Linked DNA regions of Canis lupus familiaris. The protein of the gene in region 3 interacts with the protein of the main gene of each other region in a pairwise test. Links are inferred from orthologs where the notes say so. Each region holds a gene or a part of one and is shown on either strand. Other genes may lie near its edges.

Region 1 (6,461 bases), on a different chromosome or scaffold from region 3:
CTCCCCCAAAGTCCCAGCTTTTACTACTTGTAGCGTATCTAATTCCCCGTCTCCACCTGAAGGGATTAATCGTTGAAGAAAACAAGTTTTATGATACTTCTCTATTATCAGTCAATTGAATTTCTCTGCCCTCAAAACATATCATAAAATAAAACTAAGATAATAATAGGGCAGAGAGGAGGGAGAAGAGATCTATGAGATGTCTCCTGTTACTAAAAAGGTTAATCTTTCCCAGCTGTTTTCTTTTAAAAAAACTTTTTTTTTTTTTTTTTAAATTACAGTAGAAAACACATAAAATGACATTTGCCCTCTTAACTTTAAAAAGTTTTTGGATCATTCCTGGGTGGCTTAGTGGCTGAGTGTCTGCCTTCAGCTCAGGCTGTGATCCCGGGGTCCTGGGATCGAGTCCCACATCGGGCTCCCCACAGAGGACCTACTTCTCCCTCTGCCTGTGTCTCTCATGAGTAAATAAATAATACAAATTAATTAATTTAAAAAAGGTTTTGGATCAGAAAAAAAAATCTGCTCACCGTAGAAAATTACAAAGCACAGAAAGGAATAAAGAAAATAAAAACATGTAAATTTAACCTCCACAAAATAACTTCTGTTAACAGTTGTATGCTCTTTAATTTCTATTACTTCTCAAGTTGCATTAGGGGAACCAGGTCTATATAATAAAAGGTAGTTTATGACAGCATTAACTTTTTTTATTTCAAATATTGTTTTAACCTCCATTTAACAAGTTTATTAGTTGGTTAATTCAAAAGACAAAAACGAATAAATGTGTAACTAGAAGAAAAAACAATACTGCTAAACCTTTAGACTTTTTTCTTCTCAAGCAGTGTTACCCTATGTAAGTGATTCGAAGTATCAATTTAAAAATTGTAATCTATAATTTAACAGAATCCAATCTTCCTGTTCTCACACAAAGTAAATGTAAATAGGGAAATTGCACAAATAATGGGGATTTCTTGTTTGTAATATAAAAAGAAACCACTTACCTGGTTTTCCTCATCAGGCGGCAACAACTTTTGGTTTCTTGAAATTGCCAGCATTTCTATAAGTTCTCTAAAAAAGAAAAACAAAAACATCTTTGCAAAATACAACAGAAGCTTTATTAACTGATCTCTACCTAACTGACTTGCTAGATTCATGGCACCCACAGCATGCTGAGTATTCAGAGCCCCTGCCCAGTGACCGTGCGCTTGGGCTCTCATCAGCTAAGCGGTACTCTCTCACCAAGACTCAGTTATGTCTGTTACCAGATCCAGTTATGCAAGTTTTACTTTACTAGTATAGTTAAATATATTAAATATCCATTTCATAAATACCAACGAAATATGACTGTCAACAGAAAAGAGTAATTTCCATAAAAACCTAAACTGAATACTTGGGAAAGACTCAACAGCTGCCTGCAAAGAACTGCAAAGTCATGAAAATTCAGCAAGTCTACCCTAAGACTGCTTGATAAGCATTTAAGTTTATTTACTTTTTTTTTTTTTAAAGTAATCTCTATGCCCAAGGTGGGGCTCAAATTCACAACCCATAGATCAAGTCGCATACTCTACTGCCTGAGCCAGTCAGGCACCCCTCATTTCACTTTAACGAAACACACTAGAAATTGGTGGACAAGGCATTATGGGTGGTTTATGCAAGAAAACCCCCTAAATTAAGGAGTAGATGAATCATTTTTTAAATGATTTTCTATGTGAACTGAAATTTTTAATTAACCAAACAGGTATCAACTAAGGGATTCTAATGTATAATAAAGTCCTATCTTTCTGGAATGCTTATTTACTAGACATGCCAATTTTCCTTTATGAAAACTAGTATAAAGAGGAGTATAAAATATGTATCAGGTAATATCCTGATACACTAGTTTCAAACTTGCTGACAGATGGGACTCCAGAAATTATGCAAGAGGTACAGATGCACAATTAGCAACAGGACACCACCAGTCAGCCCCAGTAAAGCCTGTACCTTCTCACTGGCCGCCAGACTATTTTCACCTTCATATTTCCATCTTCCTTACTGCCAGCCTCAAACTATTTTTCTGGATGGTGCCAACTGGACCCAACCTTCCCCACTTTGAGGTTCTCATACCATTATGCATGCACTAGCTAGCTAATTAATGAATAAAGTGGATATGGCAATGGAAAGTCTTCATTCACCCACTGATTAAACATTTAAGTTTCCACTGTGTGCCAGGCACTTTCTGGATGCCTAGCTTATGAAAGTGAACAAAGGAATTTAAATTATAATACAGAAGAGAAAAACCAAGAAAGCAGGTAAATCAAACCAGAGTTAGAAGAAGGGCTGGGAAGAAACTGAAGCAGTGTTAGAGTGTGTCAGTGAGTTGTCTGGCCACTCACACTGGTGGAGTCAGGGAGGGCTTCTATAAGTGAGAAAAGCCGGGTTCAGGGGCCCAAAGATGGGTTTGAGGAAGGGTGGCCAGGACACAGCAGTCAGTACCGAGGAGCAGGATACACAATGAGGACGGGTCTGGAGGGCAGGCGGGCCAGGCTGTGTGAGGGCCTCACAGGTCATGGTAAAGAATCAGCATTTCATTCCAGGTACAATGGAAAGCGACTGGATCATTTTAACTTTTTTAAAAAGATTTTTTTATTTTGAGAGAGAAAAAAAAAATGAAGGAGGGGGAGGCAGAGGAAGGAGCGGATTCAGGGCTCAATCCAGGACCCTGCACCCACCTGAGCCCAAGGTGGACGCCCCACTGACTGAGCAACCCAGGCGCCCCACTGATGCATCATTTTAAATGGAAATGACATGACCTGATTTATGTTTTTAAGCAATTGCTAAGCTACCTGGAAAATGGATTTTAAGAGGAGTAGAATGGAAATCAAGTTAAGTGGCTTCTGTAGACAAAGGATGGCATCTGCTTTGACTAGGTCCTAGCCGCTGGGACACAGTCATGGAAATAGGTGACAGCTATCTCTGAGTGCCGGGGTCCGGGGTGTCCCTGCAGGTCACCGAGCGCCCCCCAGGTCCCCCCTCCCCCATCACCGAGTGTCAGGTCCCGGAGTGTCCCTGCAGGTACCGAGCGCCCCCCCAGATCCCCAGTCCCCCCATCTCCGAGTGTCAGGTCCCGGGTGTCCCTGCAGGTACCGAGCGCCCTCCCAGGTCCCCCCTCCCCCCATCTCCCAGTGCCGGGGTCCCGGGGTGTCCCTGCAGGTCACTGAGCGCTCCCCCAGGTCCCCCCTCCCCCATCACCGAGTGTCAGGTCCCGGAGTGTCCCTGCAGGTACCGAGCGCCCCCCCACGTCCCCCCTCCCCCATCTCCCAGTGTCAGGTCCCGGGTGTCCCTGCAGGTCACCGAGCGCCCCCCCAGGTCCCCCCTCCCCCCATCTCCCAGTGTCAGGGTCCCGGGGTCACCGCCGCTATCAAGCGTCCCCCGGGGGCTGTGCGGGGGGAAGAGGCCGCGTCCGGGTCTCGTGGGGCTGCGACCTCGAGGCCACGACCCCGCCGCGGTCTCCGGAGCGCCGCCTCCCCGACTCCAGCCAGGCCGCCCGCCCGACGCCCCTACCTCGACAAGACCTCCAGGTCCTCCAGCGCAGACAGCAGCCGCTCCCGCGTGCTGTTCCCGCCCGCCGCGCCCGCGCCGCCCCCCGGCCGCTCCTTCTCCTTCTCCCCACCCGAGGCCGCCGCCATGCTGCTCGCGGGCCGGAAGCCGGAGACTGCGCAGACCCCGGCGCGCGGAGGCGGGCTCCGGAAGCGGAAGTGAGGGCCACCGAGGCGGGGCGGGGGGGGCGCGGAGCAGAGGCGGGGCCGCAGCGCCCCCTACGTGCCTGGCGGTGCACTGCGGGCGGCGGCGCTGTGCAGCCCTGGGAGCAGGCTCGGGGCGCTCAGGGCTCAAGCACCAATGGGAGGGGTTTTAAGCCTGTCGGGAAATTTGCATAACAACTTACATCTTGTATCAGTTTCTTTTTTCTTTTTTTAGGATTTTATTTACAGAGGGAGAAGCAGGCTGCCTGCAGGGAGCCCGATGTGGGACTCGAACCCGTGACCCGGGGTCACGACCTGGGCCGGAGGCAGGTGCTCCACCGCTGAGCTCCCCAGATGCCCCCTTCTATCAGTTTCTTTGTGAGATGGGCTGGTCTCAGTATTAACCGTCTTTAGTGTGCATCCCTACAGTGCTAGCCCCACCCTCCTGTTTGGCCTCTCCTAGGGGTTGTAAGCACCATAGGACAAGAGCCATCATCTGCCTCTTTTTCTTTATGGTTGTAAAACACACATAACCTAAAACGGACCGTGTTAACCATGGCTAAGTGTAGGGTCAGGGGCCTTAAGCATAGTCATGTGGTTATGCTACTTTCACCATCATCCATTACCTCTTTCCATCTTGCAGAACTGGGACTGTGTCCACTGAACAACAAGTCCCCCTTCCTTCCTGCCCCAGCCCCTGACAGCCACCGTTCTACCCTCTGTCTCCAAATTTTGACTACTCTAGGGACCTCATATAAATGAAATCATACAATATTCGTCTTTTGGGGACTGTGTCATTTGACTTAGTGTAATGTCTCCACTCCCATCCCTGTGTTAGCACGTGTCAGAATTTCCCTCCTTTTTAAGGCCGGACAATATTCCCTAACGTATAGCCATCGCATTGTGCTTATCCATTCATTCATCCGCACACATTGGGGTTGCTTCTACGGCTTCACAATCCATCTTTATAACCATCTATCTCCCAACAAAGTGTTTTGCTCACTGATCAAGATGCCTGTTGGAAGTGAATGAGTAAATATAGCAGGTAAGAGGTAGTGTATGAAAATGGTTTAAATAATCAATACAACACAGATTCCAAATGAAAGCCCAAACTCCGCCTCAACTCACTTTTCCTGGAGAGAGCAATGTAGTTGGAAACTCTCCCTATCAGGAAAACCCAAAGTTGCAACAGTACTGGGGATGCGGGTTCTGTATGGGGCCAAGCTGTGATTTTCAAAGATGAGATGGAGAGATGTCACCTACAGACAACAGCTTGGAGTGTCTCCTTCATTCTGTCATCCTGACCTCTGGCCTGTTCTCTTGGAGGTGCTTAGCCTGCTTCCTGCTGGGTACCCAGACTTGAGGATTTCCTCAGGGACTCATGCGAAAACAAAACAAAACCATTCATAGCAACTGCTATACAATCCAGAATGCTGATTTATTCATTTACAATAAAAAATATTAGTGCCAAGCACAATTTTCCTTGTGGACAAACTTATACAGGAAGACCAATTATCATCAGAATGTGGCTTGGTAAACCTGGATTATAACAAATGAATATAGATTTTTAAAAAAAAAATGCAACCATCAGGATTTTTTTTTTTTTTTTTTTTAACCATCAGGATTTGTATCCACATAGCATACGGATGTTTGTAGTAAAGAGATTGGAATATCTGTGTCCCCAGACCATGCAAGAGACCTGAGGACACCTTTTGTTTTCCAACCATTCCCTACTTCTGCTCTTGGCTAAACCCTTCTCTAAATATGGTCCATTCTCAGACAATGGAATACATTAGATTTAAGCTTCCTAATGACCCTTGTATTCCAAGCATACCTGCCAGCAGCTCTGGTCAGTGATTTCTTAAGTTTCTGAGGGGCTCAACTGTAGTCTGTGTTGGTTTTCTTCTCATAGGTTCATCTTGGGCATGATTCTGGTGCAGGGAGTGGGGAGATCCTATTAGTGTAGCTTCCACATACAATCAGTTAAAACCCTAATCACTTAAAAATGACCAATTATAGGTCCTACTTTGCAGGCATGGAGGGTTAGTAGATGGACAGTATATGTGTCTTGTGAATGCCAGACCTCTTCAGATTCATCACAAAGTCATATGCGTATTGAACGTTGTCCATAGACTGACAAGAAATAACATTTCCTACAGGCATACTCTATGGCAAACTGCAGATTCTGGTGTGATAAAGAAAATACGAATTATTTTATAACTGATAGGAATATCATATATATTTTTAATAGTTAATAAATAACTCAAGGTAACTCCGAATTTAGTAGTTTCCCAATCTATCGATTCAAAAGGGTAAGTACTTCCTTCTTGTGAAATTTTACGTATTTAACATGCCAGACACTGGTCTAAGCACTTAAAAAAAATGAACTCCATGAATTTTCACAACACCTTCTGGAGGTGAGTATTGTTATTATCTCTATGTTACAGATAACGAAGCTGAGGAGGCAGAGGAATTCAGAGACTTGCCCCAAATCATACAGCTGATAAGCGCCAAAGCTGGGATCTGAACAGAGTCTGGCTCCAAGGTCTGTGCTCTTAGCCACTGGTTATTTATCCTGTCTTCTCTCTTAATTTTTTTATTTTTATTTTTTATGAACTTTATTTAATAGTTCACGAAGTGGACAGTCTTCTTTTGCAGAACTACTGTCTCTGTTTTTAAAGAAAGAGATATCTTCATGCATCGAAAAGGGGTTGGGAACCTCTGGTCTAAAATACAAGCACT
Region 2 (6,450 bases), on a different chromosome or scaffold from region 3:
CGACGGTTGGGCCTCTGCCTTTGGCTCAGGGTGTGATCCCAGATTCCTGGGATCAGGTCCCTCACTGGGCTCCCCACATGGATCCTGCTTCTTCCTCTGCCTGTGTCTCTGCCTCTCTGTGTGTCTCTCTCCTGAATAAATAAAATCTTTAAGAAAAATAAAAATAAAAATAAAAATAAAAATAAAAAAAGAGCAGAAGACCTCCTCCCCTGCCAGTCCTCTCCCTGTCACTGCTCTCTGGCTTCCACTCTGCAGCCATACTTCCAGGAAGGCCCATCTATGTCAGCTGTCACATCCCGTTCACTCCATCACCCCACACTGGAACACCAAATCTGCTCTTACAAAGATCAAGGGTATCCTGGCTGCTGGATCCAAATGACATGATGTTGGCCTCTGCTGATCATTTGCCTTCCCTTGCTTAAGTGGTCTCTTTCCTTAGCTTCTAGGACATTCTGAACTTCCAAGCTCTCCTCAGCAACTCTCCTCTGCTACCCTCTACCCCTTATATGCTTGTGCCCTCAGGGGTTTGGGCTTTTTGCACCACTTCTGTGGCTTAAGGGACCACTACTATACCACCAACCAAATCTTTATCTTCATTGGGCCGCAGCATAGACAAATTTCAATGTCCAGAACAAATTCACAGGTGCCACCCTCCCCCACCATTATGACCTCCTTTCTCTGTAGGTGCTCTGCCTCAGGGAAGAACAACACCCCAAGCAAGAAACCCAGGCCTCACCCTTAGCTCCTCCTGCTCGCTCCACAGCTCCTCAGCCAACCACAGAGCCCTCTCAATTCCACCTCCCAAAGTTGTCCTGGATCTCCTTTCCCGGCCCACTGCACATCTTCGTTCAGCCTTTGATCATTTCTTAGCTGGACCCCCTACTCACTGTTCTCCATATCAGTCAGTGCTCTGCTCAAAGTCAGCGCCCTGGAGGATCCAGTCCAGCCATCCCAGAGTCTCAAGCTGGGATGTGACAGGGGCGGGCTGGAACCCACCTCTGCACACTCCAGGGCTGGCAGTCCTGGCCACCAGGCCACAAGAACCTCTACTGCCTCGAGTACTACAATGGCCCAGATGGAGTACTCACCACCAGAGATCAGAGACCCCACCTGGGCATCCCCTCCCCACAGAGGAACTGCATTACCACTTTCTGGGAGAAAGAGCCACGAGCACCCAAGAGATGCTCTAGCAAGCTGTCAGAGCTGCACAGCAAAGCCTCCCCACTCAATCCTCAGGTACAGTAAGGATAGTAACTGCCCAACTTTTCAATACCACGCCCTGACTAATTATACTCTTGTGGCCTGGGGCCAGCAGACTTCACAGCTGCCAGGAAGATCAGGGGATCTGCTCTCTTCCCAGCCTCACATTATGCAGCCTTTAGGGTCAAGCCCATCCAGAGCCCTGGGGTGTCCCCCGTCTTCATCCTGTAGGAGTGTAGGAGAAGCATGGCTGGTGGACAAAGAGCAGCCACGCTCTGGGGAGCACACCCACGCCTTAGGATGGAGAGGACTACAGAGGAACCCATACCTTCACACTTGGAGGTTGGGTCTCCATGTTTACCCATGTGACCTTAGAGTTGCTCAGATAAACCAAGGTAAAAGGAGGTGAACTGTGGAGTTAAGGGAGACGCCAAAAGATCTCAGTCTTAGAAAAGAGGAAGTTAAAAAAAAAGAAAAGAAAAAAAAAGAGAAGAGAAGAGAAGAGAAGAGAAGAGAAGAGAAGAGAAAGAGAAAAGAAAAGAAAAGAAAAGAAAAGAAAAGAAAAGAAAAGAAAAGAAAAGAGGGAGACTAAATCATCCATAAGGTTGCTTCTGGTGAAATCAAAGTGGAAGTTTCTTCCACACCTGCAGAAAATCAGGCATCATCCCTTCTTCTGTTATCAGCAAGGCAGCAGCCCATCAGAGACCTTAAAACCATGATCGCTGGAAACTTCACAGGCCCAGCTGTTTTGACACTGTGTGCGCAGGTGATAACATCCAGGTGTCTGAAGACTATCCTCCTTTCTATTTAAGAGTATAGGCCTGTTACAAAGCCAAAGCCCACAAAAATGACCCTGAAGCTGGTAAGTCAAATGGACACGGCTCCCCAAATCAGGCCTACCAGGAAAAGGGGGATTTTGCTTTCTACGGCGCCCTGAAGGACAGCCTTTAGGTATCTCAAGAGGCCACTGAGCCCTGTGAGGCCATCATCTCAAAGGGCCCTGGGAGGGAAGGATGGGACCCTTTCCCTCGAGGCTTCCATAACTCCCTCCCCCCTTTCTTCCAGCGGAGGGCGCTGGCATTCGTGTCCCCTCCCCGATGTCCCGCAGTTACCTCGTTTGAACTCCTCCAGGACGGCGTCCAGCTTGGTGTCGTTGAAGACGAAGTGGAGCGGATGGTTGTAAAAGCGGGTGATGGTGCTGAGCGGCGTGCAGTCTTCGGGATCCACGAAGGCCAAGTCCTTGAGGTACAGCATGTCCACGATGTTGGAGCGCTCCTCCTCGTACACCGGGATGCGCGTGTGGCCGCTCTGCATGATGCTGGCCAGGACGCCGAAGTCCAGCACGGCGCCGGCGTCCAGCATGAAGCAGTCCTCGAGCGGCGTGAGCACATCCTCCACGGTCCGACAGCGCAGCACGCCCTTGCTGAGGTCGCTGTAGGGGTCGCCGCCGCCGCGGGCCAGCTCCAGCACGCGCTCGCGCAGCCGCCCGGGCCGCGCCGCCAGCTCCAGCAGCTGGCCCACGGGCAGCGCCACCGGCAGGGTCAGCAGCACGGCCAGGCGGCTGAGCAGCAGCGCGCGCGGCGCCAGCGCCAGCGCCCAGCGCCCGCTCACGGCGGCCGGCACCACCTCGCCCACGAGGAACACGAGCCCCGCGCTGCCCAGCACGGCGGGCACGGCGCGCTGGCCGGCCGCGCGGTACAGCAGCACCGCCAGCGCCGCCTGCGCCAGGCTGGCCAGCAGCAACAGCGCGCCCAGGGCGCAGCCGGCCCAGCGCCGCGCGGGCTCCAGGCGCCGCGCCGCCGCACGCTCGGCCTCCGTGCCGCTCTCGCGCAGCACCTGCACCTCGGCGGGCGCCAGCGCCAGCGCGCTCAGCTGCAGGCCCCGCGCCAGCGCCGCCAGCGCCAGCAGCCCCGCCGCCCCCAGGCCCAGCGCCCAGGGCGGCGCCGCCTCCTCCGCGGCCGCGCCGCCCGGCTCCACGCGCACGGCCAGCAGCGCCGAATGCGGGCGCACGGCCTCGGCGCGCAGGCGCAGCAGCGCGCTCCACTCGCCCGCGGGGGCCGCCGCCTCCCGGGCCGCCGAGCCGCCCGGCTCCCCGCGCACCGCCAGCAGCCCCGAGTGCGGGCGCGGGGCCTCGGCGCGCAGGCGCAGCAGCGCACGCCACTCGCCCGCGGGGGCCGCCGCCGCCGCCTCCTCCTCCTCCCCGGGCGTCGCGGCCGGCCCGCCCTCGGGGCAGCCCGCCCCCTCGGGGGCCACCCAGGACCAGGAGCTGTTGGCCAAGCCCGAGCCGAAGAGGCGCAGGCGGAAGGCGGCCTCCGGGGCGGCCCGCGCCTCTCCCCCGCGCGCCCACCCCGCGCCCGCGTCTCCGTCTTCCTCCAGACAGACGCCCAGCACTCGCGGGCCCGGCGCGGCCTCCCCGGCGGCGACGCCCAGGCACAGCGCGGCGAGCAACCAGCCTAGACGAGCCGCCGCCGCCGCCGCCGCCGCCGCCGCCATCGCCCGCTGCCCCCTCTCGGCCTCCCGCGCAGCCTACCCCTCCGCCTCCCCCGGCCCAATGGTCGCCGGCCTTGGCGCCTCCTCCGCCAATAGGCGGCGGGCGAGGGCGGGCCTCAGGGTCGGACTAGGCTGCGCCGGGAGTAAACAAGCGGCGGCGCGATCCCGGGGCGGGCCGGGGGCGTGGGGCGTGGGGCGTGGGGCTGCGGGCGCCGCGGGGCTCGGCCGCGGCTCCCGGGGCAGGGGGGTGGCCGGCGACCTGGGCGTCCCGTTCCCGCGGGCCCTCGGCGCGCCCCGAGGCCGCACCTGCGCTCTGGGAAGCCGGGGCGCGGAGCCAGAGACGCCAGTGTGTGGCGGCCGCACCGTTTCTTAGGGAAGGGCTCCGCGCACCGCTGACCTAGGGGCCCCGACGTCGGGAAGCTCAAGCTTCTTAGGGCTGATTGCGCCCGACTGTGCTCTGTGGGGCTGGGGACGTGAGACCTAGCCCTTTGCCTTCAAGGACCTTGCATTCCTGCCAGAGAGAACGACGGTAATTCTGTAAACCCACGAAGTCGCTACCTCATTGGATCCTCAAACTACTTTTACAGGAGAAAAGTGAAGCGTGCCTTAGGGTGGATGCAGGATCCAACACGACCTACTTACTACCCCGGTCACCTTCCCAGCCACGTTAGCAGAGGGGCAGCGCGGTCAAAAATTCCTGTTACCGGTCACTCTACTTCTAGCAGATAATCCTTGGGAAAATATCTTCTCGGGAACAAGAACTATTCAACAGGATCCTTACTAGAGAGTTATTTTAGAAGGCAATATGGTTCCTTGACGGTATGGAATGCTTTTCACCCGTTGTGCATGATCTTTATATGACCGGAAGGAGACAAACTGAACAAGTCTTTTCTACAAGGATCCAGATTGTTTTTGTATATTTTCTTTACATTTTTATGTATTTTCAAATTTCCTAACAAAAGTAGACTTTGATAAGGGTGCACATCTACATGTCATTTAAAATTTTCCTAAGGATTCTACAGAAACACATTTGCTAGGTCATGGAAATAGTAAGAAAAAGTGTAGGCACTGTGACCACAATTAAGTAAAACGGGTGGAAGGCAACATGCAAAAATGAGCAGACCCATTGTGGATAATCAAAAGAAAAAATACTTTGTGAAAAACTCCTCAAAGGATGGTGAGAATGTCTCTTCAACGTTGTAAATTCAGCGCTGTGACTAGGCCAACCACGTCTCCATGTTTTTGGTTTTTATTATCTAGAGGGTGCTATGCCTCACTTACGAGCCAGCAGAAGCAATGACACTACTGAGCCTTTCCACTGGATCAGCATGCCTCCTTTGAAGAAAAAAAATTATGGATTCACACTTCTGTCTCCCAAGTCCACATAAAACGCTGACACTGAAATAGAATGGATGACATACTTGAAAGTTATGTGCCTTAAAATTTATTAATTAGCAAAGAGGGACGCCTGGGTGGTTCAGTGGTTGAGCATCTGCCTTTGGCTCAGGGTGTGATCCTGGATTCCCCGGATCGAGTCCCACATCAGGCTCCCTGGATGGAGCCTGCTTCTCCCTCTGACTGTGTCACTGCCTCTCTTTCTGTGTCTCTCATGAGTAAATAAATAAAATCTTTAAAAAAAAAAAAAGATAAATACAAATCCTCATTTTCATATCTGACAAACGCTATGGAGAAAAACAAAGCAAGATAAATGGACAGAGGGACTGGGGCCACGCTGTTTTAGATGCGCTGACCGGGGAAGTCTTCTCCAAGGAGATGACATTTGAACGGAAGCTTAGATGAAGTGAGGGGGTGAGCCTCACAAAGACTTGGGAGAAGAGTGTTCCATAGGGTGGAGACAGGAAATCCAAAGGTCCTGGCATGACTGTCTCCCTCAGGGACTCTTCCTCACTACACTTACTGAGGGGTTGGTGGCACCTGGCACGTAGCAGGACCTGACACGTGTGTGGAACATATGGGCGGATGAAATTTATTCTACCTATATACACCAGCTTTTGCATCTGTGATTTTATCTGAAATGTTCTTTTTTTTCCTGAAGTGTATCCTTTTTTAAAGCACTAGCCACCATCTGTCTGCTCTGGTAAGCCTGGCTAGCCTGGGCCCCTGGTCGCAGCACACTTGACTACACACCACAGCCACACAGTACAGTACATATGGGCACCACATGAGTCTGCACACAGATACCTCAGGAGTGAATGCAGTGGGGTGACTCTCAGAGGGGCTCTTCAGGGGTTGAGCTGTCCAACTTTGAGGCCACCACCAGTTCATGAGCAAGGACAAAAAGGCAATTGCATGTTATGAAACAATGCAATCCTCCTTTTGAATCAAGCTCCTTTCTCCTTCAGCCCCCGGGGGAGAGAGGAGGGGCTGTGTGCCCACTCTAACCACCTCCTCCAGTAGCTGCAGGCAGAAGACTATGGTGTCCATTTTTACAAGATTCCTCATTGTGGCAATGGAGCACACTTGCCCTGTACAGCTAACAGCAGCTGCTGTGACAACAACCTTGATTATATAGATTTTGTAGATCTCATTTCTGCTTCCTTTCTATTGTTAAACAGTCCCAGAATACTTGCCCCTTGCCCTGTCATAGGAGACAGCCGACCACAGCTACTACCTCTATGATAGGTACCGAATACCAACAGAACTCAAACAGGCAAATTGTAGACTCACCAAGATTTCATATTTCCTTTTTTATTACCAATCAAAAATAAATTCCATATATTGTTTAGCAAATATTATCAT
Region 3 (4,191 bases):
ACTTATATTTGGGATCTAAGATAAAACAAAACGAAAAATTGAACTCACAGTTATAGAGAACAGAGTGGTGGGTGCCAGAGGCAGTGGGGGTGAGGAGAGGAATGTGGGTGGGGGTGAGGAGAGGAATGTGGAGCGGGGATCATCTTTCCCAGCCAGGAAGTGGGCCCCACCCCTTAGGCTGGGCTCTGGTGGCCCCATATCTTGCCACCTTGGCCTGCCCAAGATGAGGGCCTGTTCCCCCATCTCCTTCAGCCACATGGCTTTAGATTCCATCCACATGTTAAAGAGGTCGGGATGTGTTTCTCTTGTCCTGACATCTCCCCTGAGCTCTGGATTCTGACCCCACAACTGTGTCTTTGATGGTCCTACATGGGTGGCTCAGGGGTTTCTTGAACTCATTAGGGTCCCAACAGCTCCTGGTCCTGCATTTCTGGCTCCCAGTCCCGCAGGCCCCCAAACCAGGACTTGTCCTCAACCCTTCTCTGGCTTTCACACCCAAACCTGCCAGCTCCACCTTCGACACCACCCAGAATCTGCCCACTTTGTGCCACCTCCACAGTTTCCACCATCTGGTGTCTGGACCAGTGCCTCGCGGATCCGCCGGCTGTTCCTCCCATGCCTACCAGAGGGCGCCTGTGACCGCGGCACCAGGTCCCGCCCCTTTCTGCCGCGGGAGGGCGAGGGTGGGGGGGCGAGGGGGAACCCCCCAGGAGCCCACCAGGCTCAGGGCCAAAGCCCAACTCCCAGAAGCCCACAGACCGTGTAAATCTGCCCCCATCACTAACCTGCCCTCCCCTCACCCCCACACTGGCTTGCTCACTGTTCCCTGACTCACACTCCCACCTCTGGAAGGGAGCTCCTTCTCCGCCTGGCATGCTCTTTCCCCAGATCCTTGCATGGCTCCTCCCTTACCTCCTGGCTCAAGTGTCACCTCCTCAAGGGGCATCTCTGACCACCTTATCTAAGAAGGCAAGGCACCTTTGTTCAGGGCTCTGCAGCAGTCAACGCTCCATAAAAGTTTTTCTCTTTCTTTTTTTAGATTTTATTTATTTATTCAGAGGAGACACAGAGAGAGAGGCAGGCTCCCTGTGGGGAACCTGATGTGGGACTCGATCTCAGGACCCTGGGATCATGACCTGAGTCAAAGGCTCAACTCAAGTCAACCACTGAGCCACCCAGGCGTCCCTCCGTAAGAGTTTTTCTAATGAACAAACAATGGAAGGTTGCCTATGCCAGGCCCGCCTCCCCCTTAGACAGAGAACCCTCAGAGGTAGAGCACAATACGTCGAGACCCTCACCTCTCTCTGCAGCATCTCCTTCTCCCCCTGGATGGCCTGCAGGGAGGCCTGCGTGCGAATCAGCTCCTCCTCTCGGCTGCCCAAGGCCAATCGTAGCCAGTCATTCCTCTCTGCCAGGCTGGCTGCCTCCCTCTGGCAACCACTTGCCCCCTCCTGCTCCAAGCAGGGCCTTGGTCCCACCTCACTTCTGTCCTCTGCCTCCCCGGGCCCAGGACAGCTGGGGGGCCGGCGGCGCCAGGCAGCCGCCGCCGCCTCCAGGGAGCTCAGAGCATGCTGGAGAACCTGAAACACGTCAGAGGCTTCAGGCCTGGGGGGGACAGTCTCCCCATCCTGTGGAGCTACATCTCTGGCCTGGTGGCCTTCCTCTGCAGGCTTGCGGGGTCCCTCGGGAGATGGGGCCAGTCCTCTGCTAGAGTCCCCCTCAGCCTCTTTGTTGGTCCTGTGGTGAAGTGAGAGACAGAAGGTTCTGGAAATGGGGTCATCTGGGGTGGCTGGCTCACAGAGGGTGCATTATCCGGGGCCTTGAAAGTTGGGCAAGGAGGGCAGTGGGAAGCTACGGCGTGTGTGTGAGCAAGGGAGGAACACAGGTAGATCTGTGGGGAGGAAAGACACACCAGGGCCGGAGTGGGAGCCCAGACGGAGGGGACCTTACCTGTTCCCAAGGCCCTGCCCACTGGCCTCTGCCTCTGGCCCCTGCAGCCTCGGCTCGCAGCTCTCCTGAGATGGCACAGGGCCCAGCTCAGAGCTCCCGCTGGCTGCCTCAGCCTCCTCTGAACTCTCCGCCACGGGATCCAGCTCCCCCTGAAAATGACCCACAGGGCCAAGCTCCGAGCCAGGCCGGGGGCGAGGGGGTGAGTGACCCCAAAGAGCTGGATGCGGCAGGGAAGGGGGCACTTACAGGTGGCGCGTGCCTCCCTCGCCGGCTTCGGGGTCGCGTGGCCCGGGCACTCATTGCTGTCCAGAATTCAGTCCTCTGATTCTTTTTCCGAAAGCCGCAGCCTGATCTCGGCTCTTGTCTTTGTTGGTCTGGGCGAATGACAGCCTTAATACCTTCTTCTATGAAATGAGCATCGATCTCCTCCCGCTGGGAGGGATCTTGAATTACCAGTGTTGAGCTGGCACATTTGAATACCCCTCCTGACAGGCAGCTCACTACCTCACAAGTTTGTTCCCACCTCCCCTTGTCTTTTGCCTCCTTTATCTTTCACTACCTCTGTGCTCCCCTCGGTCCCCAATCTGGACCTGGCTCGAGGACTTCAAGAATCACCTCTCCTCCCCAGGGTCCTCTTGAGTCGGAGGCCCCAATCTTGGGGTTGGGTCCCCTCAGCCTGCTCTAATGCTACTCCTCTGTACCTCTAGGAATACCTTGGTCAGCAGCCCAAATCCCTGGACACTCTTGGGGTAGCTCTGGCCACTGCTTGCTTAGGCCCCGGGCTGGCCAAGGCTGGCTTGGGAGAGGCCGGGAAACAGGAAGCCCCCTCCCCTGGTCATGTGACTTGTTATTGTGCTATTTCCTCCTCAAGGACATCAGCTTCCTCCAGTCCCGGTGGGACACACATGTCCAGCTCCTGACCTGTCGGTCCTTCCTTGCCCCAGCCTCCAATCTCATGTCTCTTCCGCCTCTGAGCCTCAGTTTCCTTATCTGTAAAATGGGGGGGGGGGGCTTTAATTATAGGATCTGTCTACAGTGTCATGGGAATTTTAACAAGCAACTTGCACATGACTGAGCACCATCCAAGAACTGAATTGTAACACACCACTCTTGTTCGCTGCCTCTCCGGCCCTCCCATCTCTGCTTCCTCTGCCAGCTGCTGCTTCTCCTGGATTCCTCAGGGCACAGATCGCCCCTACATCCTGCCCATTTTTCCTGCATCCATCTCTAAAGGGCCTCGTCATCTCCCTCCATAACAGCCCAACCCTCTCCCCTCTACCGGGATGCCAGCCCCTCTCTCTCCGTGGACTCTACAGCCACCCACCCCTTGACTCCCTTCCCCTCCCAGGCCCCAGAGACAGAGACCTCATTGTTCACCTCTTCTGCTCACACACCCTCCATGACTCCCCATTGCCCTTGGGAAACATTTCAAGCTCTTCTACCCGGCATTCGAGGCCCTTAAAAATAATGCCTGCTGTCTGCACCCATGTATACTCCATGCTTTAGCCATGATGACCCCTCTGTGAACAGGTGAAGGTTCACAATTCTCACATCCCAGGGCCTTTGGTTATGCTGTAACCCTTTCCTTGTTTCTGCACTTGGCTTATTTTTTATTTATTATTTTTTAAAGATTTTATTTATTCATGAGAGACACAGAGAGAGGCAGAGACATAGGCAGAGGGAGAAGCAGGCTCCCTGCCGGGAGCCCGAAGCAGGACTCAATCCCAGGATCCCTCGGGATCAGGACCTGAGCTGAAGGCAGCCGCTCAACCACTGAACCTCCCAGGTGCCCCTACACTTGGTTTAAACTGCGCAGAGCCTGGAGTAGCCTGAATCTTCCTCATTCCGCTGACAGACAGAGGAGGCTGAGTCTTCCTGCTTCTGCGTCCCCAAAACTGGTAAGGAAATAAGTTGCAATTCTCTGACTTGGGGGCACCCAGGCACATTGAAATCTACACTCTTAGCCTCTGCTCCAGCCATTTTTTTAAAAAAAGATTTTATTTATTTATTCATGAGAGACACAGAGGCAGAAACAAGGCGGAGGGAGAAGTAGGCTCCCCGCGGAGAGCCTGATGTGAAACTTGATCCCAGCATCCTGGGACCACCACCTGAGCTGAAGGCAGATGCTCAACCACTGAGCCACCCAGGCGCCCCTGCTCCAGCCATATTAACCTCTTAAAGGTTCCATCGCTCCAAGGCTCTTGCAAGTCTCAGGACCTTTGCCAAGGCGATTCCTTCTTT
Region 4 (6,481 bases), on a different chromosome or scaffold from region 3:
ATTTTACACTATTGTGGCAATTTCTGGAAGAAACTCCTTGTCTACCTTTAATGGCATCCATTTCCTGAAGTATTTGCTGGGCACCTGCTTGGGTGGCCAGGTTTCCTCAGGGGACCATACAGCCTTGCCTTCAAGGAACTGGAGACAGACCCACAGGCAAGTCCTGAAGAATATATTCAGGCCTATCTGACTCAAGGCCTGGCCAGGCCAGTCACCCTGAGACCTTCCCAGGTGTGAACTCCAAGCTCACCTCGACCATGTGCCCACCCAGTGCCAGGTATTACACCCTCTCATTTAACGCTCACAACAGTCCTTGGGGAGGTGGTCCCATCCCACTTTATAGATGAAGAAATTGAGGCTGGATGGGTTTTTTGTGCCCTGCTGATTTGGAGGGGAGCTCAGATTCCAAAGTCCCACCAGCTTCCCTGAAACTCTTCTTCCCTCTCTCCCCCTCTGCCTCCCTGACCCTGCCAGCCTCACCTCGGAGCCAGCGTAGGAGGAAGTACTCGTCGGCATTGGGCAGGGTGGGCAGCAGGTCCTGGAGTTTGTCCCGGAACTGAGGGGGAGATATAATGGTCAGTGGTGCTCCCATGATCCCTGGGCTCCCAACCCCACCCCGATCCTTCTTAAACTCAGCCTGTCAGTCCTTCCCAGGGACCCTGCAGGGTGGAAATCACACAGTTAGCAGCAGCTGCCTGGATCTTTTTGCCAACTGGGAATGGAGCACCCCACCACGGCAACCAGAGTTGGGTCCTTCTCAACTTTGGGGGTTCTCTGCCTCCCCAAGATCCTTATTCTATAGGTCTGAGGTGGGGCCCTGCCATCCTCATTTTTACAAAGATCGCTGGTGAATCTGATGCAGGCAAACCAGAACAATTTAGGAACCTTGCCCTTGATACTGGATCTTATGAGTCTAGATTTGAAAGCAAGTTACTGAACCACTCTGAGCTTCAGTTTCCTCATCTGTGTAGTGGGGATAAAGATAAATTTGTGCCAGTCAAAGGAGTGTGTACAGGTAAAGCACTTAGCATCAGTCTTAGCTTGCAGCAGGTGCCAGAAAAATGTGGGCACTCAGCAAATGTGGACTGCTCGGAGCTCCAGACAGGGGAGTCTTTGTGGAAACAACCCCAGGCAAAGGTCAGCAGGGAGGAACTGCAAGAGAAGCCAGGGATGCCGCATCAGGCCCGTCAAGACTGGGGAAAGAGAGGGGCTGACCTGCTGACGCAGGCTCTGCCCACTGGCAGAGTTTGGGAAAGCTGTTGAAAGTTTAGGTATGGGTCTGGGGCTCAGTTCTGGGAGAGAACTGTCCCCCACTTCAATGGGGACTAAGGGAGCAGAAGGCAAACCCTGGAGGGGTGGGTTTGTGGGAAACTGTGAATGAGAATTTAGGATTAGAAGTCATTGTTAGCAAAGCCAGAGGATGCTATCTTGACAGCCATCCACCAAACCTCCTTTAGCTTTATGGATGATGTTTAAAATAAGAATGTGGGGTCGCCTAGGTGACTCAGTGGTTGAGCATCTGCTTTTGGCTCAGGTCACGATGCTGGGGTCCTGGGATGGGCTCCCTGCTGGGAGCCTGCTTCTCCCTCTGCCTGTGTCTCTGCCTCTCTCTTTAAAAAAAAAAAAAAAAAAAAAAAAAGAATGTGTTCATGTATTGATCACATAATGAAAAACAAATAAAAAGACGAAAAATCTCCAGTGTCAACAACTAAGGTGAGCGAGAGCACCAGCTATCATCATCGCCCACCCAGTCCCAGCAGGCACAAGGATCAGTTGAGGAAGTTTTTAGGGGGAGTGACGGAGAGTCACAATAACCAAGAAATAATAATTCTGCACGCTCAGCCCCTTCAGATTACCAGAGTTCCTCCTGTGAACCTCTGGGATGTGCCCTGAGGCAGGAGAAGCAAGGGTCACATCCCTGCTTTGTGGATGTGGGAAGGGAGGCTGGGGTGCTGGAGGGTCTTCCCCATGGACAAAGTAAAAAAGCTACAAGGCCAGGAGGAGTCCACACCTTCCAGTCTCAAAGCCACCCCACCCTTGGGACGCACGTCAAGTAAAAGATAAGACCACTAAGCAGGTGCTGGGAAGGGTCCAGAGTAACTTAATGGAAAAAATATCTTAACAATGAGGCCATACTGGGGCACCTGGGCGGCTTGGTGGTTGAGCATCTGCCTTTGGCTCAGGTCGTGATCCCAGGGTCCTGGGATTGAGTCCCTCATTGGGCTCTCCCGAGGGAGCCTGCTCTTCCCTCTGCCTTTGTCTCTGCCTCTCTGTGTGTGTCTCGGGAATAAATAAATAGAATCTTAAAAAAAAAAAAAAATCAAAACAAACAAACAAAAAAGAACAATGAGGCCAAATGGAGAAAGCAGCCTCTGGCAGCCCAACCAAGGTGGTTAAAACTAGGCTAAGGTAAAAAACTTAGAAGGAAATGCTCCTAGGCATGGTTGTCTAGATCTCTGGGACCACGGGTGACTTCTTTTTCCTACTTTCCTTTTTCTCCCTAATTTTTAAAACAACTAGCATTCATTTCTATTAAATAATGGGAAAAAATAAGAATAAACTCTTTTCACATTGTTTAAAGCTCTTTGACCCACAAGCATTTCCATCATAATTCACCCCCAAAGGCCAGGTGTCCAGCCCCTCCCAAGAGCCTAGTGTCAGGGCTCCCCTGAGGCCTCTGCCAGTGGGGAGGGAGAGGGTTAACCAGGGGACTCCCCCTCCTGCTTCTCTTGGGGACCCCTCCTTCAGCTCAAGACTCTCTGCTCCTGGAACCTCATCCTTTACCTGGAAATTCACCCAGCCCCCCCCCCCCCCCTTCACCTGGGACCCTTCTCTCCTTCACCAGGAATTCATCCAGGGTCCTCCTCCATGGGGGGTCTTCATTCCTCCCTGGAGGATCCTCCCCAGGGTGGGAGCCATAAAAGAAACCATAGTCTCCCCAAGTCCGAAACTTGCCCTTCTTTGGCCCAAAGTGTAAGCCAGGTAGGTCCGTCACCCCACTCCCCTAACGTAAAGTCACAGTTTCCAGGCCCTGCCATCTCCTAATCAAATTAATGCTGTGGCACCTAAGACCTGAATATGTCCCCCTTCCCCAGGGTGTGACACTCTCAGCGGCAGCTTGACGGACTGCCTTGAAATCCCCCAAACCCCTCCATTCCTCTTTAATGGAAACACCAGCGATGGGGAGATGGCTTCCCCCCTGGGGAGTCGGAAAGCCACAAAGACACCAAACAAACAGATGTTGCAATCCGGGCAGGAGATCTGCGGGGCGGTGTGCCCAAGGCTGCCGGGGACGGCAGCACCACCCCACCCCCAAAACCAGGGGACAAGGGCCGGGGACAAGGGCCGCAGAGGGCGCAGAGGGCGGGAGGGGAAAGCGGGATTTGGCCCCAGGGCAGCCCAGGGAAGGGTTCAAGGCCAGTGTCCCATACACGTCTGCCTCAGCAACTGGGCGCAGGGGGTGCGCGGGACAGGAGGCTCGCAAGGACCCCTTTTCCATCCAAACGCCGGGGCTCCAGCCCAGGTGGGCAGCGCCAGGCAGCTCCCCCCTCCCGAGCCTCCCGGCCGAAGCCCCTCACCGTGGCCAGCGCCTCCTGCTGCGGGGGGCTCAGGTCCCCGACTCGGCCGCTCATGGTGCCGCGGGCCGGCGGGGGGGCGCGGGGGTGCCAGGAGGGCGCCGGCCCGCCAGGCCCGCAGCCGCCGCGTGGTTTTGTGCGGGGCTCAGATGTCGGCCCCGCCCCAAGCCGAGAGCGCCGCCCCGCGCGTCCCGCCCCCCACCCCGGGGTGTCCGGCGGGCGGTGGACCGGGCGCGCCCCACGCGGGGCAGGGAGCCCGGAGAGCGGACTCGAGGGGAGGCCGCAGGCGCCGCCACCTCCAGGCCGCCTCGTGCGGGGGCTCGGACGGGGTCCTGAGTGGAGGGGAGGGCGGGCGGGCCTGCGGACCTGCGGGCAGCTTCGGGGAGCACACCCGGCTCTCCTCCCCAGCAAGCTGGAGGACCTGGGGCTTCCTTTTAAAACTTTCTTTTTTTTTTTTTTTTTTAAGATTTTATTTATTTATTCATGAGAGACACAGCGAGAGGCAGAGACAGGCAAAGGGAGGAGCAGGCTCCATGCAGGGAGCCCGACGTGGGACTCGATCATCACGTCCTGGGTTGAAGGCAGGCGCTAAACCGCTGAGCCACCCGGGCTGCCCAAGGAACTGGGGCTTCCTAAACCAGACTCCACCCTCTAGATGTGTCCGGGAGTTTCTGCCCGAGGGGCCCCAACCTCCCTGCCCTGGCCTTGACCACTGGCTAGGAGCGCCCTATCCGTGCTCACAAGCTGATGGAGGCCTTTATGTGCAAAATGGTTCCAGCTCCAAGATGGTCAGAAGACTAGATAAGATGATCCGCCATGGGTTAGCCTGGCATTCCACTTAAGTGTGCAATGTTAGGACTTTTTTTTTTTAAAGATTTTATTTATTATTTATTCATGAGAGACACACAGAGAGAGAGAGGCAGAGACACAGGCAGAGGGAGAAGCAGGCTCCATGCGGGGAGCCCGACGTGGGACACGATCCCGGGTCTCCAGGATGAGGACTATTGTTCCATAATAATTACTATGATTGATGCCTTCACCAGAACAGGGAGGGGCTGCATAGGTGGAAATTCTGGGATGGCCCCTCTGGTAGCACCTGGGTAGAATCTATAGCCTGAAGGCCAGGGCATGGGAGGGGACAGTAGTCACTGGAAGCCCCGGTGGGGTGGTGGAAGGCTCAGGAGACCCCGGGTGGTGGGTGGCTGACACAGGTGGTCAGGATGACATCCGGGAATCAGGCAGGGTTCGCTGAGAAAGGTGAGAAAACACAGGTTGGCAGGGCAGGAATTTTCAAGAGACAGCAGGTGGAAGGTGAAAGTGAAGGAGGAGGTAAATTAGGCCATCAGAACATTCCCCCCTCTGCCCTCCCTCTGAGTTGAACAAATTCTAGATCTCTGCTGTAGCTCTGGTGGCCATGAGCTAGCTACATGTGGCTGCTGAGTATTGAAACTGTGGCTGGTCACTAGCACGAATGCAGATGTGCTCTAAGAGTAAAATACATGCCAACTTTCCAAGACTTAATACTCCTCAAATGAAGTATTTCATTAATTTCTTATATTGATTACATGTTGCAACAATTTTTTATATATTGGGAAAAATAAGATATATTATTAAAATTGATTTCATCTGTTTCTTTTTACTTTTTTATGCTTTAGAATTTCTTTAATGAATAAGCTTTATTTTTAAGGGCTGTTTTATTTTTTTATTTTCTTTCAAAGATTTTATTTATTTATTTATTCATGAGAGACACAGAGAGAGAGAGGGAGAGAGGCAGAGACATAGGCAGAGAGAGAAGCAGGCTCCATGCAGGGAGCTCGAAGTGGGACTCGATCCCGGGGCTCCAGGATCCCGCCCTGGGCCGAAGGCAGGTGCTCAACCCCTGAGCCACCCAGGCATCCCTAAAGGCAGTTTTAGAATCATAGCAAAATTGAGCAGGAAGTATAGGGGTGTCGCACATACCTTGTTCCTCCCACCACACACACAGCCTCCCCCTCTATGGACATTCTCCACCAGAGTGGGACATTTGTTACAACTGATGAACCTACATTGACACGTCATTATCACCCAAGGCTCATAGTTTACATTAGAGTTCACTTCTGGTGGCATGTTCTATGGATTTGGACAAATATACAATGACATATATTCACCACTGTGGTATCATACAGAATAGTTCTATTATTTTTATTAAAAATCCTCTGTGCTCTATTCCTTTTACTTTCTAAAAAATGTGGCTACTAGAAATTTAAAATTACATATGTGGCTCACATTTGTGACTTGCATTGTATTTCATTTGGACAACACTGCCCTAGAGGGATTTAAAATCTTAATTAAAAAAAAAATTTAGGGATCCCTGGGTGGCGCAGCGGTTTGGCGCCTGCCTTTGGCCCAGGACACGATGCTGGAGACCCGGGATCGAATCCCACGTCGGGTTCCCAGTGCATGGAGCCTGCTTCTCCCTCTGCCTGTGTCTCTGCCTCTCTCTCTCTCTCTCTCTCTGTGTGACTATCATAAATAAATAAAAATTTTTAAAAATTGTAGGGCTCCTGAGTTGCTCAGTGATTGAGCATCTCTTTGCCTTTGGCTCAGATCATGATCCCAGGGTCCTGGGATCGAGTCCCACGTCAGGCTCCCCACAGGGAGACTGATTCTCTCTCTGCTGGTGTCTCTGCCTCTCTCTGTGTCTCTCATGAACAAATAAATAAAATCTTTTTAAAAGAAATGTAAAAATCTAAAAGAAAGTGAAATTGACACCATGTCTCTGGAAGGGCATGTCTTCGCTTGAAAGCAATGACAGAAATCACAAAGGGGACAATCAATTGATTTGACTACATAAAAATACAAAAATTGTTAAACAAGATACACAAATTAAGTCATCAGGGGATCCCTGGGTGGCTCAGCGGTTTAGA

What was found.
Region 1: the proteins of USHBP1 (region 3) and MED4 interact in binary tests that used the Homo sapiens proteins (3 or more experiments, as listed by UniProt). The two-hybrid records come from large-scale screens. The link is inferred for Canis lupus familiaris from reciprocal best matches to the Homo sapiens genes USHBP1 and MED4.
Region 2: the proteins of USHBP1 (region 3) and CNNM3 interact in binary tests that used the Homo sapiens proteins (3 or more experiments, as listed by UniProt). The two-hybrid records come from large-scale screens. The link is inferred for Canis lupus familiaris from reciprocal best matches to the Homo sapiens genes USHBP1 and CNNM3.
Region 4: the proteins of USHBP1 (region 3) and SEC14-like protein 4 interact in binary tests that used the Homo sapiens proteins (3 or more experiments, as listed by UniProt). The two-hybrid records come from large-scale screens. The link is inferred for Canis lupus familiaris from reciprocal best matches to the Homo sapiens genes USHBP1 and SEC14L4.

The regions. Positions count from the first base shown.
Region 1 is NC_049243.1:3,360,515-3,366,975, reverse strand, and holds the start of MED4 (mediator of RNA polymerase II transcription subunit 4), read right to left. Parts: upstream 3,694-6,461; 5' UTR 3,666-3,693; coding exon 3,541-3,665; intron 1,069-3,540; coding exon 1,002-1,068; intron 1-1,001. UniProt on the Homo sapiens protein: Component of the Mediator complex, a coactivator involved in the regulated transcription of nearly all RNA polymerase II-dependent genes.
Region 2 is NC_049231.1:46,208,162-46,214,611, forward strand, and holds the start of CNNM3 (metal transporter CNNM3), read right to left. Parts: upstream 3,694-6,450; coding exon 3,350-3,693; intron 3,239-3,349; coding exon 2,313-3,238; intron 1-2,312. UniProt on the Homo sapiens protein: Probable metal transporter.
Region 3 is NC_049241.1:45,884,161-45,888,351, reverse strand, and holds the start of USHBP1 (Usher syndrome type-1C protein-binding protein 1), read right to left. Parts: upstream 2,801-4,191; 5' UTR 2,664-2,800; intron 2,383-2,663; exon of another isoform or gene 2,325-2,382; 5' UTR 2,251-2,324; coding exon 2,197-2,250; intron 2,100-2,196; coding exon 1,951-2,099; intron 1,738-1,950; coding exon 1,299-1,737; intron 1-1,298.
Region 4 is NC_049247.1:24,017,046-24,023,526, forward strand, and holds the start of SEC14-like protein 4, read right to left. Parts: upstream 3,694-6,481; 5' UTR 3,633-3,693; coding exon 3,579-3,632; intron 557-3,578; coding exon 481-556; intron 1-480. UniProt on the Homo sapiens protein: Probable hydrophobic ligand-binding protein; may play a role in the transport of hydrophobic ligands like tocopherol, squalene and phospholipids.